Linked DNA regions of Tamandua tetradactyla. The protein of the gene in region 1 interacts with the protein of each later gene in a biochemical or structural test. Links are inferred from orthologs where the notes say so. Each region holds a gene or a part of one and is shown on either strand. Other genes may lie near its edges. The genes, in order: DDX39A and SARNP.

Region 1 (8,043 bases):
AGTGAGAAGGCACATGGTGAGCACAGTCACAGTTTCTCTCTCGGCTGAAAGGGCACATGGCGAACATGGCTTCATCCGTTAGCTTTCTCTCCTGGCTTCCTGTTTCATGAAGCTCCCTGGAAGGCGTTTCCTTCTTCATCTCCAAAAGTCACTGGCTGTGGACTCTCTGCTTCATGGTGCTGCAGCATTCTCTGCTCTCTCCGAATCTTCCATTCTCCAAAATGTTTCCTGTTTTATAATATTCCAGTAAACTGATTATACATGTAGAACGGAACGAGCATATGTTAAGAATGTTTGTGTTTCAAGACCATCAGGAGTTAGAAACAGGGTAAGATATTGGGTAATTGGAGCTGAAGGGATACAGACTGTGCAACAGGACCGGATACAAAAACTCAGAAATGGACAGCACAATACTACCTAACTATAATATAATTTATGTTAAAACACTGAATGAAGTTGCATGTAAGAATGATAGAGGGAAGAGGGCTGGGGACATAAATGAAATCAGAAAGAAAGATAGATGTTAAAGATCGAGATGGTATAATCTAGGAATGCCTAGAGTGTATAATAATAGTGAAATGTACAATGTCAAATTTTAAAAATGTTTTTGCATGAGGAAGAACAAAGGAATGTCATTATTGCAGGGTGCTGAAAAATAGATGGTAATTAATACTTTAAAATGTCACCTTATGTGTGAGACTAAAGCAAAAAATGTTTATTTGTTACAAAATTTAGATTTTGACTAGAGCATTTCCTAATATAACTCATGTAGATAGTTTGATTGAATGTCATAAGTACTTGGAATCTCCGGTAGGACATGAGATTTTGTTGGTTTGCCCAGAGTGATGCCCCGATGAATCCCAGAGTGATTTGATCAGTGAGTGGAAAACTATTTGCAAAGCCCCCTTCAGGGAATGGTGAGAATGGGGAGAAATTCAAGTTCCTCAAGTTGAATTCTTGATATTCTCACAAGCAGTGTGGACAACCAAAGCTATAGGCTGAGCCCCCAACCTTGCGGTTTGTTCATATGAAACTTAACCCCACAAAGGATAGGTCAAGTCTACTTAAAATTTAGGCCTAAGAGTCACCCCCAAGAGAGCCTCTTTTGTTGCTCAGATGTGGCCTCTTTCTCCAGCCAACACGGCGAGCAGTCTCACCACCCACCCCCTCTCTGCGTGGGACATGACTCCCAGGGGTGTGGACCTTCCTGGCAATGTGGGACAGAGATCCTGGAATGAGCGGAGACTCAGCATCAAGGAACTGAGAAAAACCCTAGAATGAACTGAGAATTAACATCAAGGAATTGAGAAAACCTTCTCGACCAAAAGGGGGACGAGTAAAATGAGACTAAGTGTCAATGGCTGAGAGATTCCAAACAGAGTCGAGAGGTTATCCTGGAGGTTATTCTTATGCATTAAGTAGATATCACCTTGTTGTTCAAGACGTAGTGGGGAGGCTGGAGGGAACTGCCTGAAAATGTAGAGCTGTGTTCCAGTAGCCATGTTTCTTGATGATGATTGAACAGTGATACAGCTTTCACAATGAGACTCTGTGAATGTGAAAACCTTATGTCTGATGCTCCTTTTAGCTACTATATCAACAGAAGAGTAGAACATATGGAATAAAAATAAATAATAGGGGGAACAAATGTTAAAATAAATTCAGTTTGAAATGCTAGTGGTAAATGAAAGCGAGGGGTAAGGGGTATGGTATGTATAGTCTTTTTTTTCTCTATTATCATTTTATTTCTTTTTCTGTTGTCTTTTTATTTCTTTTTTTAAATCGATGCAAATGTACTAAGAAATGATGCATATGCAACTATGTGATGATATTAAGAATTACTGATTGTATATGTAGAATGGAATATCTAAATGTTTTGTTTGTTAATTTTTTTAATTAATAAAAAAAGTTTAAAAAATGTTTGTGTTTCTTTCTTGTAATTTTCTTTTAATTTAAAATTAATAATAAAAAAACAGATGTAATATTAAAAATACTATTTGATTTTGTTGGATGAATTTGCAATAAATACATTATTAGCTAAAAAAAAAACAGTTTCCAGTAAACTAATCAAGACCCACCCAAATGGGTGGAGACATGTCATCACCTAATCTAGCTTAACAACCACTCTCGATTAAATCACATCTCCAGGGAGATGATCTGATTACAGTTTCAAACATACAATATTGAATAGGGATTATTCTTTTGCTTTTATGAAATGGGATTAGATTAAAACATGGCTTTTCTAAGGGACATACATCCTTTCAAACCAGCACACACCGTAATTACATGGAATCTTGAATAGGGTATGAGATCTTATTGTATACAGGTTAGTGTGATTCCCTAATACATGCCAGAGTAATGTGGGCATGGAATAAAAAAGTATTTGCAAAGTCTCCTTGGGGACTAGGGAGAAAGGAGGAAATATTAAACTTTCCCATCTGGGGAATTCCTGATTTTCTCACAAGCAGTGTGGACAACCAATTTAATCGGCTGAGCCCCCAATCTTGGGGCTCACCCCTATGAAGCTTATTCCTACAAAGGAGAGGCTAAGCCTACTGATAATTATGCCTAAAAGAGCCTCTTTTGTGGCTCAGACATGGCCTCTCTCGCTATAAGCCATGTTAGCAGATGAACTCACTGCCCATCCCCCCTACATGGGTCATGACCCTGAGAGGTGTAAATTTCCCTGGCAACGTGAGACAGGACTCCCAGGATTAGCCAGAACCCGGCATCATGGGATTGAGAGAGCCTTCTTGACCAAAAGGGAGAAGAGAGAAATGAGACAAAATAAAGTCTCAGTGGCTGAGAGATTTCAAAGAGAGTTGAGAAGTTATCCTGGAGGTTATTCTTATACATTATATAGATATCCCTTTTTAGTTTATGGTGTATTGGAGTGGCTAAAGGGAAGTGTCTGAAACTGCTGAACTATGTTCTAGTAGCCTTGATTCTTGAAGAAGACTGTATAACTATTTTACAGTCTTTTACAATGTGACCGTGTGATTGTGAAAACCTTGTTTCTGATGCTTGTTTAATCCAAGATATGGACAGATGAGTAAAAAAAAAAAAAGATAATAAATAAATACTAGGGGGAGATAAAGAGTAAAAACTGTGTACATTGAAATACTGTGGGTCAATGAGAGGGAGGGGTAAGGGGTATGGGATGTATGAGGTTTTTTTTTCTTTTTATTTCTTCTGGAGTGATGCAAATGTTCTAAATATGATCATGATGAAGAATACACAACTATGTGATGATATGCTGAGTCACTGATTGTGTAATACAGTTGGACTGTATGTGTATGGACATTTCTCTATAAAAAATTAAAAAAAATAGATTTATCTTGATTGCTGAGGTTTTGGCACCCTCTTAAATTTTGCTCCTGGGTGAATGCCTCGCTTGGCTCACTTCTGTCCTGGCCCTGCTGGGCACATAACAAGTGCTATACAAGTGCATGGAGTAATTAAGACATAAAATGACACGTTCATATCATTCAAATCTTTCCACCAGTTGGCTTGGATTGACTGGTTCCTCTTCTTTGGGCTTTTTGACCTATATCAACTCTCAGACTTTGTAGTCTGAAATCTAGACCCAAAGGCAGCCTACACTAAATGAAACTGACATGCTAGAACTTCTCCAGAAGGTTATGGAGGAAAGTGCTCCGGGCTTAGGGAGATGGGAATACTGGAGCCGGTTTATCGCATATACTCACTCCCTCACCCCCAAATCAGGGAAAAGACCAACAATACCAGGTGTGGGAGCAAACGGAACTTCCACAGTTGCTAGTGGGAGTGCAGAATGGAAAAAACACCTTGGAAATGGTCAGTATCTATTAAAGCTGAAGCCATACACACCCATGTGTGAATGGCCCACCATTCTGCTCTTCAGTGTCTGCTCCAGAAAATGAAAAACCTATGCTCTCAAAGCAGCTTGTACCAGGGTGGTTTTAGCTGCTTTTTAAATGATGACCAAATGCTGGGAAACAAACAAATATCCCTTGACAGGTGAATAAAGAGACTATATTGCCTATACTACAGTATAGCCACAGTGGAATACTACTCAGCAATCAAAAACAACCAACCACGGATAGACCCAGCAACAAGGATGGATCGCAGAGGCATTAGGCTGAGCAAAAGAAGCCAGACACAAAAGACAACCCACTGTATGATTCCATTTATATGAAACAAGAACAGCCAAAACTAATCTGTGGTGACAGACACGTGGATAGTGGTTGCCTGGAGGGGGATGGGGGTGAGGTTGACTTGAAAGGGGCACAAGAGAACTTTCTGGGGTGATGGAAACTGCTCTGCATTTTCAACGAAGTAGTTGTCACTCGGTGCATCGATCAAAATTCACTGATCTGTTCCTTTCACTCTAAGTTGTACTTCAGCAGCTTACTGGTAAAAAAAGATAAACGGGTGGGGGAAATTAATACTAGGAAAAAGTAAAATTAACACAGAGTTTCAAGACCTAAAAAAAAAAAGCTGTGTCTTGTGGCCTACACTTGCCATGGCCTGGCAGTGTCCGACCCAGGTCATTGCTCTGGACAAATGGGAACCGCTGCGTACAACCATTTCTCAAACCCTAACGACCTGAGGAACCCCTTACTCTCAGCCCTCCTCAGAGCCCTTTCAAAGAGGCTGCCGTGGAGGACCACGAAGCCGCAGACTGATGTCCACTTCGTGATGAACACTTGAGAAGGTTCCGCGCCCAGCGCAGACGCCACGTTTCCTAAGGGTAGGGCCCCCGCCACAGGTCAAGCACCCCCGGCTTCGCCCGCCAGTACTAAGCATGGCTGCTCACACCGAGGGCGGACGTCCGGTCACGTGACGGCGCGCGAGCCGGCTCCCACCCCCACCAGTCCGTTCGGGCGGGCTACCTTTAGATTGGCCAATGAACGTGAGGAGTGGGGCACGCCCTCTTACCGCTCTTCACCAATCGCCTTCAGAGGTCTCCGGATGGCCCAATCGCCGCCCCCGGCTCCCTTTGAATGAAAAGGCAGCGGTCCAGTGAGTGGGCTGTAGTCGGCCGCAGGAAGGCAGGAAGCGCCGAGGTTCGCGTCGGGGCGCGCGGTTGATAAGCAGAGTCGGTCAGTTCTTCTCCCAGCACGCGAAGGCGAACAAAGCACTAGGTGAGCGGCGGAGCTGGGGCCTGGGGTGGCCGTCCGGTGGCCCGGGACTTGCGAACGAGCGGGCTAGGGGAGACGCCGGGGGTTGAGGGGAGGAGGAGGAGGAAGGGGCGCGAAGCCGGGGTGTGGGGGCGGGGCGGCTGAGGTGCGCGCGCGCCGCAGCCGTTGGGCGCAGGGGCGCATGCGCGAGGGGGCGGGCCGGCCGTTGGCGCGAGGGGCTGCTTCCGGGAACGGCTGCCATGGCCGCCACGGGCAGCCCCAGTTTAGCTCAGTCCGTGAGAACGAGCTTACCTTCTTTCACAGACTTCACGGTGCCTCTGGGCGGGAGGTCCGGGAGGTGGGGCAGCGGTAAGAGAAGCCGAAGCTTCGAGATGGGACGGGCTTCTCCGAGTCCGAAGGACTCCCCCTTCCCACGACCCCCATTCTGTTTCTGCCCTACCTTGTGGGGAGTGGGGCTGGGGGCGATTCGAGGTTTTCGACCTTCGGAGCAGAAAAGACGTTCTTTTGGAAATAGAAGTCCCCAGTGGGAAAGGAAGCCCCCCGTAGCACTTAGCGACGTGTCTGGGTTGTCTTTTCATCCCCGCGTCAGCCTTTAAATTCATCCCCTCGGGACTCAGTCTCCGCATCATTCCCTCTGGGCGGGACACAACCCCGCCGTGTTTTCTCTCCTGATCTATTTTGTTTTGAGCTTGAGATCCCTGTCTAGCCACCCCCTGAAAATGTTTGTGCTTCACTCGTCTGTCCCCATGCAAATTCACCCCCCCACCAAAACCAAAATAAACAACTTCCGTTTGGCTTCCCTATTTCTTTTAAATACGCTGTTGCCTCCTGGTCACCAGAGTTCAAAGCCCAGGGTAGATGATTCTGGGTCTTATGTTTCTTTGGGTCATCCAGGGGATGGCTCATCTGTGGGTTGTTCACCTTCTCCTTCCCTACTCAGTGTCCCGACCCTGGTTAATTCTCTTTCATTTCCATGACCGGTTTTCCCTGCTCTTGGTCTCGTCCTCACTTTCAGATTAAATTACTCTTGGGAAATCCTGGTTGAGTCACTCGATTCCAAAACCTGATCAGTGGTAAGTACAAATAACCTGGGCCAGATGAGCATCTCCAGCTTTGTCTTGTATTGTCCTACTCTGCGTTCCCCAAAAAGTTCTGATGCTTTTTAGACTCACCTTTCTTGGCTCCTGTTCTTTCTCCTGCTACCTGAGAGAGGATGCCATCCAGCCTTGATGCTGCCTCTTCAAAAAATCAGAAGAGGAGATATAGTTGTTTTAGCTCATAATCGTGCCATTGTTTAGTGAGTGCCTGGGTAGGGTAGGCTATGTGTACCAGGCACTGGAGATGCAACAGTCAACAGACCAGCTAGTTGGATGAGAATGACAAATGTGTAAGGTGTTAGGCTGGTGTGACTGGCAGGGGTCCTTTCAGTTGGGACTGTCAGGGAAGGCCCTTTTGAAGTGACATAATTTAAGTGGAGGCTTGAATAAACTGGGAAAGATCTGTGAATTTGTGGGTGGAGAGTTCCCAGCAGTAGGAGCAGCAGAGGCACTGAGGCATACTTGAGGCACAGCATTGAGGCCAGGGAATGAGGGGCATGGGGGAGATGAGGTCTGAGCATTGAGAGTCGGCTCATCTGTGTAGGAGAAGAAGGCATGATGGGAGCCAGTGGAGGATTTTGAAGATAGGAGTGATATGACCCGGCTCAGGTTTTAAAAGGCTTGCTTTGCTGCTGTGGGGGAGTCAGTTGAAGGGGTGAGAAAGAAAGCAGGGAGGTTGTATGGAAGCTACTGGCATAAACCAGGCCACACTATCCGAGTGTCTGTCACTGACAAATGGATAAACTGTGGTCCATCCAGACAACAGAGTATTATTCAACCATAAAAATGCATGAAGTTCTGATGTGTGCCACAACATAGATGAACTTGGAAGACATGATGCTGAGTGAAAGAGCACAGTCACAAAAGATCACCTATTGTATGATTCCATTTATACACAGTGTCCAGAATAAGCAAATCCATAGAGACAGAACGATCACTGGTTGTTTGAGATGGGGTACACTGTATAGTGGAGTGATGGCTAAAGAGTACAGGCTTTCTTTTTAGGTGATGAAAATGTTTTAAAATTCTAAACTTGTTTCTGAATATACGAAAGACAATTACGTTATATACTTTAAATATAACGGGATGGCTCATCTGTGGGTTGTTCACCCTCTCCTTCCCTGAGTTATATGGCGTGTGAGCAATAAAACTGTTCTAAATAAATTTTTTTTTATGAGAGAGTAGCGATGCTGGCTGAAGTCAGTGTGGTAGGAGGGGTGAGAAGGGGCTGGGAAGGACTTTTCTGGTGGATTGGACAGGGAGGAAGCGAGAGAGAGACAGAACTATGGAGTGGATGGAGTTGTCCTTCACGAGGTGGGGGAAGCAGGCTTCAGGGAGAAACAGTTCTGTTCGGAGCATTTTGAGTTCAACTTCCAAGGGGAGACCTGGAGGAGGCAGCTGGGTAGTGTCTGGCATTCAGGTGGGAAGTTGTTGCTGGAGACAGACCTTTGGGAGGCATCAGCATAGCGGTGCTTAAAGAGCTGGGATTGGGCCTGGAGGAAGTTGGGGAGGGTGACAAGGCCAGGGGCTGGGCTGTCCTGCAGGCCCAGCAGGGAGCTTGGGGAGCGATGGCTGGGTGCAGCCTGAGTGCATTGGAGCTGAGGATGTGGCCTCCCTGCAAAGCCCTGGGAGCAGCATTCCAGGCAGCAGCAGTGGCAGACTTGGTGGGGGGTGGGTGGGATGGTGAGTCTGAGAAGCAAAATGAGGCTGGGGCTGTCTGAAGGGGATTGGTAGGGGAGGAGGTCAGCTGGGCCAGGGCGAGGGTTGTAAAGGCTGGGCTGAAGAATTGGGGTTTTGCACTGAGAAAAGTGAGAAGCTGCTGG
Region 2 (7,287 bases), on another chromosome or scaffold:
AGCAACATCTCTTGCTTCATTATTTCTTATTTCTCTTTTAGAGCCACCCCATATGCCCCTCCTGCTGACCTTCAGGATTTTTTGAACCGGATCTTTCAAGTACCACCAGGCCAAATGTCCAATGGAAACTTCTTTGCAGCATCTCAGCCTGGCCCTGGGGCCACTGCTCCTTCCAAGCCTAACAGCACAGTACCTAAGGGAGACGCGAAATCGAAGCGGCGGAAGAAAGTGAGGAGGCCCTTCCAACGCTGACACCCCTTCTCTTCTTTCCTCAAATCAGTGTCAGGGAGTCAAAGGGCTGTGTACAGCACAGGATGGAGTTTGATTTGTTTATTTTTAAATATTTAAAAAAGGGAAAAGTTTAAGCTCAAATTGTTTACTTAGTACTTGTAGGAAGTCCCTGAACCACTTGCTCTCTTCCCTCAACACCCAGGAACTGAATCTTGTCTTCTGGCAATACCAAAGAAATAGGAGGTGGCTAAAAGCAAAGAACCTAGGGCCTCAACCTTGACTGGACAATATATCCTATAGTGGTGTGGGAACTGGTTATTTCCCTGGGGTCTGTATGCCTTTGTCCTGTCTTTTGCTTTTAGAGCAGATGACACTTTTTTTCTTTTTCTCTTTTTAAACTGAGTTTATCTTATTTCTTGACCCATTTCAAGAGTGAATTCCCCCACCCTCATCCCTATAGACTAGTTAAAAGACAGAACAAGAAAGCATGTAGCCCAAATTATAGGAGATGTATAGTTCAGAGAGAGAGAACTCTGAGTTCTTCCATCCACTGACTTTCACCTTTGTGTATAATCACCTAATTACAGGCTTGCTGTTGCTGCAGGGATGGCCAAAATTAATCATTTTTTAAAAGCAGACTCATACCCCTCTGCCCTTGGGTGAGGGGGAAAAATAAGGGGGTTCCCAGCAGCCCCCTTATGATCTTAGGGTTTGTATTTTTTAAGTTTGTTCATATTTGTATGTACATATCTATTTAAAGCCAGGGGATTATCTTTCTATAAATATATAACTGGCAACCTGTATTTTCCCTCTCTTCTTTGTCCATTTAACTGTAGTTCTTTTTCTCATTTGAGTACTTTCCATAGTTAGCCGAGAGTGAAGGGCACCCCCTATTGAACCACGGGAGAGAGGATAAAAAGTAGTCTTAGAGAAGTTAATATAGTAAGTCATCATTCTCTCTTTCCCTACTTTTCCTGCCAACCAATTGTAGCCATATCTGAAAAAAAATATCTTTATTATAAGTAAAATACACAGCAAAACAGAGCTGGAAAAGGGGTGTGTATGTGGAAGATATGGAAAATTTAATCACCAAATAAGCTGCACATACATGGTTCCTGCTGTGGAGATTTGGCCCTTGTCTCACCTGCCTTTGCTGATTCAAAGAAACCTACTCCTAGCAGGGTTGGGCCAGGGAGCCCCATTTTCCAATCTCTTCTCTTCCTGGGAGTTTGGGAAAGGTTGTACAGTTCTCAGTCTTTCAAGATGAAGATAATATAAAGAAGGAGGAAGGATGTTAACAGCCCTTGTTCCAATGTCTTCTCCATGCCTACAGAGCTGTTCCCAGTCCCCTCTCTCAATATTTGTTGATCCCAAAGAGACGAACCCCGTGGAATTGGGGCAACTTTGGCAGCAGAACACTGAGTAGCGAGGCTGTGTTGATGAAGAAGTGAGCAGCATCATACTTGGTGTAGAAGCTGGCCAGGAGGTAGCTGGGAGAGAAGAAAAAGAATGAATTCATATTAATGTCTTTTCAGTGACTTTCCTTTTATATTTTAAATTACCAGTTCTACTGCATATAGTCTTAGGACATCTGAAAACATTACAGCCATAGCAACACTATTTATTTTGGGGTTGGAGAGATCTTAAGATAGCACCTTTAACTGGAGATTATAAATCAGATTATGTGTTTCTTCATTGTTAATGACAGGTGGCAAATGACAGCTGAAGCTTTTTCAGCCTATATGAATGTTAAGAGTCTTAATTTGTTTCCAGTCCCCACAGTTTTCATAGATTCACATCAGTCCTGTCTCTATTCACTTCTGTTTGGAAGTGTAAAGTCATTTGATTTTATTTGGTGTTTCATCATTTTTCAGTCCCTTTCCATTCTCCTATCATCAAGGGAGGCAGCAAGGAATGCTTAATTACTAGCTTCTACTTTTTACTTCTTTCCCTAGTAACTAGTATACCATGATATTTCAGATAGGTAGTCTGCTTTAATGCCTCCCTGTGGGTTTTTGTAGCTGGCTTTTTAAAGTGCTTTCCAATTCAGCATTGCCCATTACCCCTCCTTTCCAAACTCACAGTATAATAGGAGAGATGCTAAGGAACTTGCGGGAAGAGGTAAACTGGAGCCCATAGTCCATCTGCTCCCAGTGTGTCAGGAGCCGTGCCTTTCCTTGGTCAGGGGTCTCAAAGGGTGTACCTTTCACCGTATGTAGAAAGACATACATAGCCTAGGAGAGAAGGGACAGGGTGAGGGGAATAGAAAGTAGTCCTTCAACTCAAGAATTCTGCTAAGGTAGTAAATGGTTGATTCCTAAAGGAAGGCAAAAATCCCCAAATAATTGGGAATTTTATTATTTATTAATTGATTTATTTTTGTTGGGGAAAGCTTGGGGTGGGTGTAAGAGTGTGGTTTAGTGCTTACCAAGTTATGAATGACATTGGTCAGGGTCCAGACCACAGGAATGCTGAAGAAGGGGATGCTGAGTAGAACTACATGCAACAGTCCTACCAAGATGATGTAGGCCAGCCAGATGCCACGGCTATTCATCACTCGAGTGTTGGGATTTACTTCACTGTGTGCCACCCCCACATTCATCCTATTACAGTTGGAGAATCAGGCAGAAATATAGTTCAATTTCCTCTAAGCTCCTTTTTTTTTTTTTTTTTTTTTTTTTTTTAAAGGAAAGACAGAGAGAAGGAAGGAAGGATAGAAGGAAGGAAGAGAGGAAGAAAGGGAAACATCTTTTAAACATTTTCTTGTTTTATTGTATTTTGTTTCTCCGTTTTCGTTACATGGGCTAGGGCCGGGAATCGAACCGAGGTCCTCCGGCATAGCAGGCAAGCACTTTGCCCGCTGAGCCACCGCGGCCCGCCCTCCTCTAAGCTCCTTTGAGCTTGTTTCCCAATTGTTTCCTGAATAGCCAAACCCCCCTGAACTCCACTGAGAATGAAAGAACTTTCCAATCATGCACAAAGGGAAAACTATAGTCTTGGGGAAAATTTTCAAAGGCAAGAAGCTCACCCTACATTTTAGAGACATATTATTGTATTTTTTCTGATTCTCACAGTTCAACTTAATGTGAAGTATCATGCCTAGGCTTGGGGTACCTGCTTCAAGGAAAAGGAGACACTTAGGAGTATCTCACTTTATTATCCTGAAAAAGTTAATAAATCAAGAGAAGTTACAAATCTAGATTTCCCAGAGGGTCCTGGGATTCAATCAAGGAGGGCTGAGGAGGTAAAGCTACTCCTAGTTCCCATCTTCTCCTCTGGGGCTTGTCCACCCTGTCTCATTTCCTTTGCACGTAAGGAACAAACATCCTCATTCCTTCTCTCAAGCGTGGGGTGCTGCAGGAATTTCCCCCTGGGCTTCTAAAGGACTAGAAAGGGACCCAAGTTCAATACCTCGAGGCATGGAGCCCTAGCCCCTACTCTAGGGTCGGTTCTGGTCCTCTGAACTCAGCTCTAAAACAGTGCAAGTAAAGCTGACGACTGGTTAGGAAGTGGCCCTTGCCTGCCACCCCTCTATCTAAAATTCCCTAAATCCTAATATTGACCCCGTCCCATGCTCTTCCTGGCTTCCCTCTATTATTAATCGATTCCCCTTAGGGAACCCTTCAGAGCACCTCCGCCACTTTCCTTTTGTCTCTCCATTTTTACTCAGTACCCTCTTTCCAGTCTCCCGATAACGCCTACCTGCCAGCTTCAGTGGCCCGTCCGGCCTGTGCACGGCGCTCGCTTCCACACCTCTGGTCTCCAGGAAGCAGCAGTCCTCCGCCTATTTGCATTCTTCTTATTGGTGGAACAGAATTAGCGCTGCCACCACCCATTGGTTGGCGGTGTGCAATGGAACACACAATTGGTCGCCATTTCCGTCATTTGGAGGGTGCAGAACCGGTCCTTTTCCCAGTCCCACCTTTTGAGAGAGGTGGGGATAGTTGAGGAGGGAGCTAGAGCGACGTCAGCTATTAACTAATGGGAAGAGCTGATGGTGTGGGGTGGAAGTAAGAGTGACAGCGATTGGTCGGTCATGGTTCTGCGCCTAGGCGGGAGCTCCTGGAGGCGGAGGCAGCGAGTGGAGGGGGTAACAAGATGGCGGCAGAGACGGTGGAGCTGCATAAGCTGAAGGTACTGCGAAGCGGGGCAATGGTTGGGTTGGACATTTCTAGCAGCTGAGTTTTGCACGGTGGGCTGTGCCTTCTTCTCGTTCTCTCTGCAGTCTTTTCTTTTTCGTTTTCCGGCTCGTTCCGTAGTTAGCTGGTTTTTCTTTTGTGCTTCCCTTCTTCCCCGCTACGCCTTCCCTAATTTCCCATTTCTCCTTGCGGTTTTACTGTTATCTTTATCTGTTATTTCGGCGCCCTGGCTTTCTTGGCTGTACCATCCATCACCTCCCTTTCTCGTCTCTTGTCAGCGCCCCATTACGTCAGGGTTTTTCTTCTCATCTCCTCTTGCCGGAACCAGGACCCCTTTTTCTTCCTTGGGTTGATGTTTCCCTGTCTGTTGTCTATAGCTGAGATTTCCCTGTTAGCTAGGCACCTTTGTTTATTTCTGAGTCCCAAATGTGATCCAGAAAATGCTTCCACTCCTTTTTCTAGTGGGTTTACGCCCCCTTGAGTGAACTTTGAACCCTAAGGCCTTAGGCCTCCGGGTTGAGGCTTGGGCTTCAGGAGGGTTTAAGAGTTAGTCAGTGCACTGACACCTTAGATTTATAAGTTTTTCGAGTTGTCTCACTTACACCCTCCCACCCCCCACCCCACCCCCCCGACAGCATACACATACATGCTTCCTCCGAGAGAACTTACAATAGCAGCCCTGTAGAAAAACAACTCCAAGGCTGGGGTTGTTTTTGTCTCATTTCATATCACCGTTAGATCCTGCATCTCTTGGTGTCACTATTTGGTGGCACTTCGAATCACAGAACCTATTTCAAGTTCTGTGTCAAGTTCTGTGTCTGTATCAAGATGTGTCTTTTGGGAATCTTGATAGCTTTTTCACACTTAGATTATCATTTACCTGGAAGAAAAAGTAGGTTCTTTTAGGGTGAATTAAGAGAGTGGCTTTATTAGTTGGCCGGTTGTGGCTTCACAGATAGTTTTCTCATCACATGTTTTGGTCACTTAATCTTGGGTCTTTTGGACAAACCAGGCTGATTTAATCCACAGCTGAAAACTGATCCTTCAGAGCTTGATGACCAGTAGTTTAAGGGGGAGAAGAATAGGGAGAGAACTTCTTTAATCACATGTTAGTTGACACTAGTTAGCCTTTCTTTGAAAGCTGATGTATTTTTAACCTTGGATTCTAAATTTTATAGTGAGTTTTTTTGTTGTTCTGGAGTTACTGTTAAGTTGGTGGTACTGAAACATGTAAATTATATCAGTGTTCTAATATTTATCATGATGAATAGAAAAAAATTGAGCAGTCATTGCTATTATGTGTATACTTATTCATATATAAATTACATAGATACTACTGTATTGTTATGTATGTTATAAAATATACATTAAAGAGAATTTTTGAATGAATGGGCTAAAAAGGAAATATGAATTGAAGATCTAGTATTTTCTTCTTATTTATCCCATTTTTGAAATCCCTGGAGTAAATTACTAGCTTCCCCTGTGACTTGCTTTTATGGATGACAAATCTGTTAGATCTGTATTAAATTTGCATTTGTTTGGTTAAGTCACTTTTACAAAATGTCCTCTCATCTGATTTCAGGCATTATAATTTAAGAGAACTTGAGGCACTCCCGACAGCCTGAAAAGGACTCACTCTTTTAATCACATTTGCTTGTCTTTGCTTTTTCTCTAGAGCACTTCTTAACCTTTTGGAGGTCACAGATATCTTTGAAACTCTGATGAAAGGTATGGACCCTTTCCCCAGAAAAAGGCATGTACACGTATTTTGCATGCAATTGAGGGGCTTCATAAAACTACTTTGTAGCCCTAAGGAGTCCATGGACCTCTGGTTAAGAACCCATACCTTTAATTCTGACTTCCAGGTTAGTTAATGTGTGGTTTTTCTGGTAATTTTGATGGAATAATCCTGACTTTTGCTTTGACTTCAGGTTTTCTCTTTTTAAAGAAAGTCTCCATTTTTATAAGGGACTTTAGCATGGGACCTCAAAGGAAGGGAAGAAACTTTGAAACAGAAAGAAAAAATATATATTATCTGTTCGAATTGATGTGAAAGTCCATATTGACTGCTGACTTCTGAAGTCTGAAGATTTTACAGAAATGTGGTCATTTTAACACAACTAGAAAGAGAAAGAATTGTGGATGAAAATGTCTTTTAAACTGTAACAGTACCAGATTTCCAGTCAAATGTGGAAAAAAGGGTTCTTACAGAGGGGAAAACAGTGAGTCATTTGTATCATTGAAGCATAATGTACCCATTATGAGTGGTTAGAGGTTGGAAGGAAAAGTAGGTGAACTATGTGCCTATAAAGGTTGAGTAAGTGATACTATAAAGGGTCTTACCAAGTCGTGTAGGGCATATGGCTTTTGTCGTGTAGGCAGAAGGGGCTAGTCTTTGGAAATTTGAAAGGAAGAGCCTGATGTGACCAGTTTATTTTCTGTTGGTAGTATGGAGAATGGAGTCTGCAGGGGGAGCGATTTCATCAGTTAGATGTTTAGTATAATAGTCACTACTCTGCATAAAACTTTTTATGATATCCCTATTGGTCTCTCCAGCTTCGTTTCTCACAGCCCAACCACATTGGCCATATTTGTTTCCTCATAATATCTGTGTTCATTAACAGTATTGATGGAAGCTGTTTACATATGATAATTGATTGGTTGAGTTCTCACAATAGCCTTAAAAGATAAACGTCACTATTATACTTTTTTTTTTTTTTTTTTTTAAAGGAAAGACAGAGAGAAGGAAGGAAGGAAGGAAGAAAGGGAAACATTTTCTTGTTTTATTGTATTCTGTTTCTCCGTTTTTGTTACATGGGCTGGGGCCGGGAATCGAACCGAGGTCCTCCGGCATAGCAGGCAAGCACTTTGCCCGCTGAGCCACCGCGGCCCGCCCCTATTATACTTTTTAAGATGA

The links.
Region 2: the proteins of DDX39A (region 1) and SARNP form a complex in vitro, tested with the Homo sapiens proteins (2 studies listed by BioGRID). The link is inferred for Tamandua tetradactyla from reciprocal best matches to the Homo sapiens genes DDX39A and SARNP.

The regions. Positions count from the first base shown.
Region 1 is NC_135337.1:88,527,862-88,535,904, forward strand, and holds the start of DDX39A (ATP-dependent RNA helicase DDX39A), read left to right. Parts: upstream 1-4,994; 5' UTR 4,995-5,126; exon of another isoform or gene 5,127-5,251; intron 5,252-5,313; exon of another isoform or gene 5,314-5,471; intron 5,472-6,138; exon of another isoform or gene 6,139-6,196; intron 6,197-8,043. UniProt on the Homo sapiens protein: Helicase that plays an essential role in mRNA export and is involved in multiple steps in RNA metabolism including alternative splicing. Regulates nuclear mRNA export to the cytoplasm through association with ECD.
Region 2 is NC_135333.1:122,802,405-122,809,691, reverse strand, and holds the start of SARNP (SAP domain-containing ribonucleoprotein), read left to right. Parts: upstream 1-4,125; 5' UTR 4,126-4,329; coding exon 4,330-4,365; intron 4,366-7,287. Other genes in the region: ORMDL2 (ORM1-like protein 2), read right to left, coding at 1,586-1,721, 2,314-2,465, 2,660-2,834, 3,934-4,067. UniProt on the Homo sapiens protein: Binds both single-stranded and double-stranded DNA with higher affinity for the single-stranded form. Specifically binds to scaffold/matrix attachment region DNA. Also binds single-stranded RNA. Enhances RNA unwinding activity of DDX39A.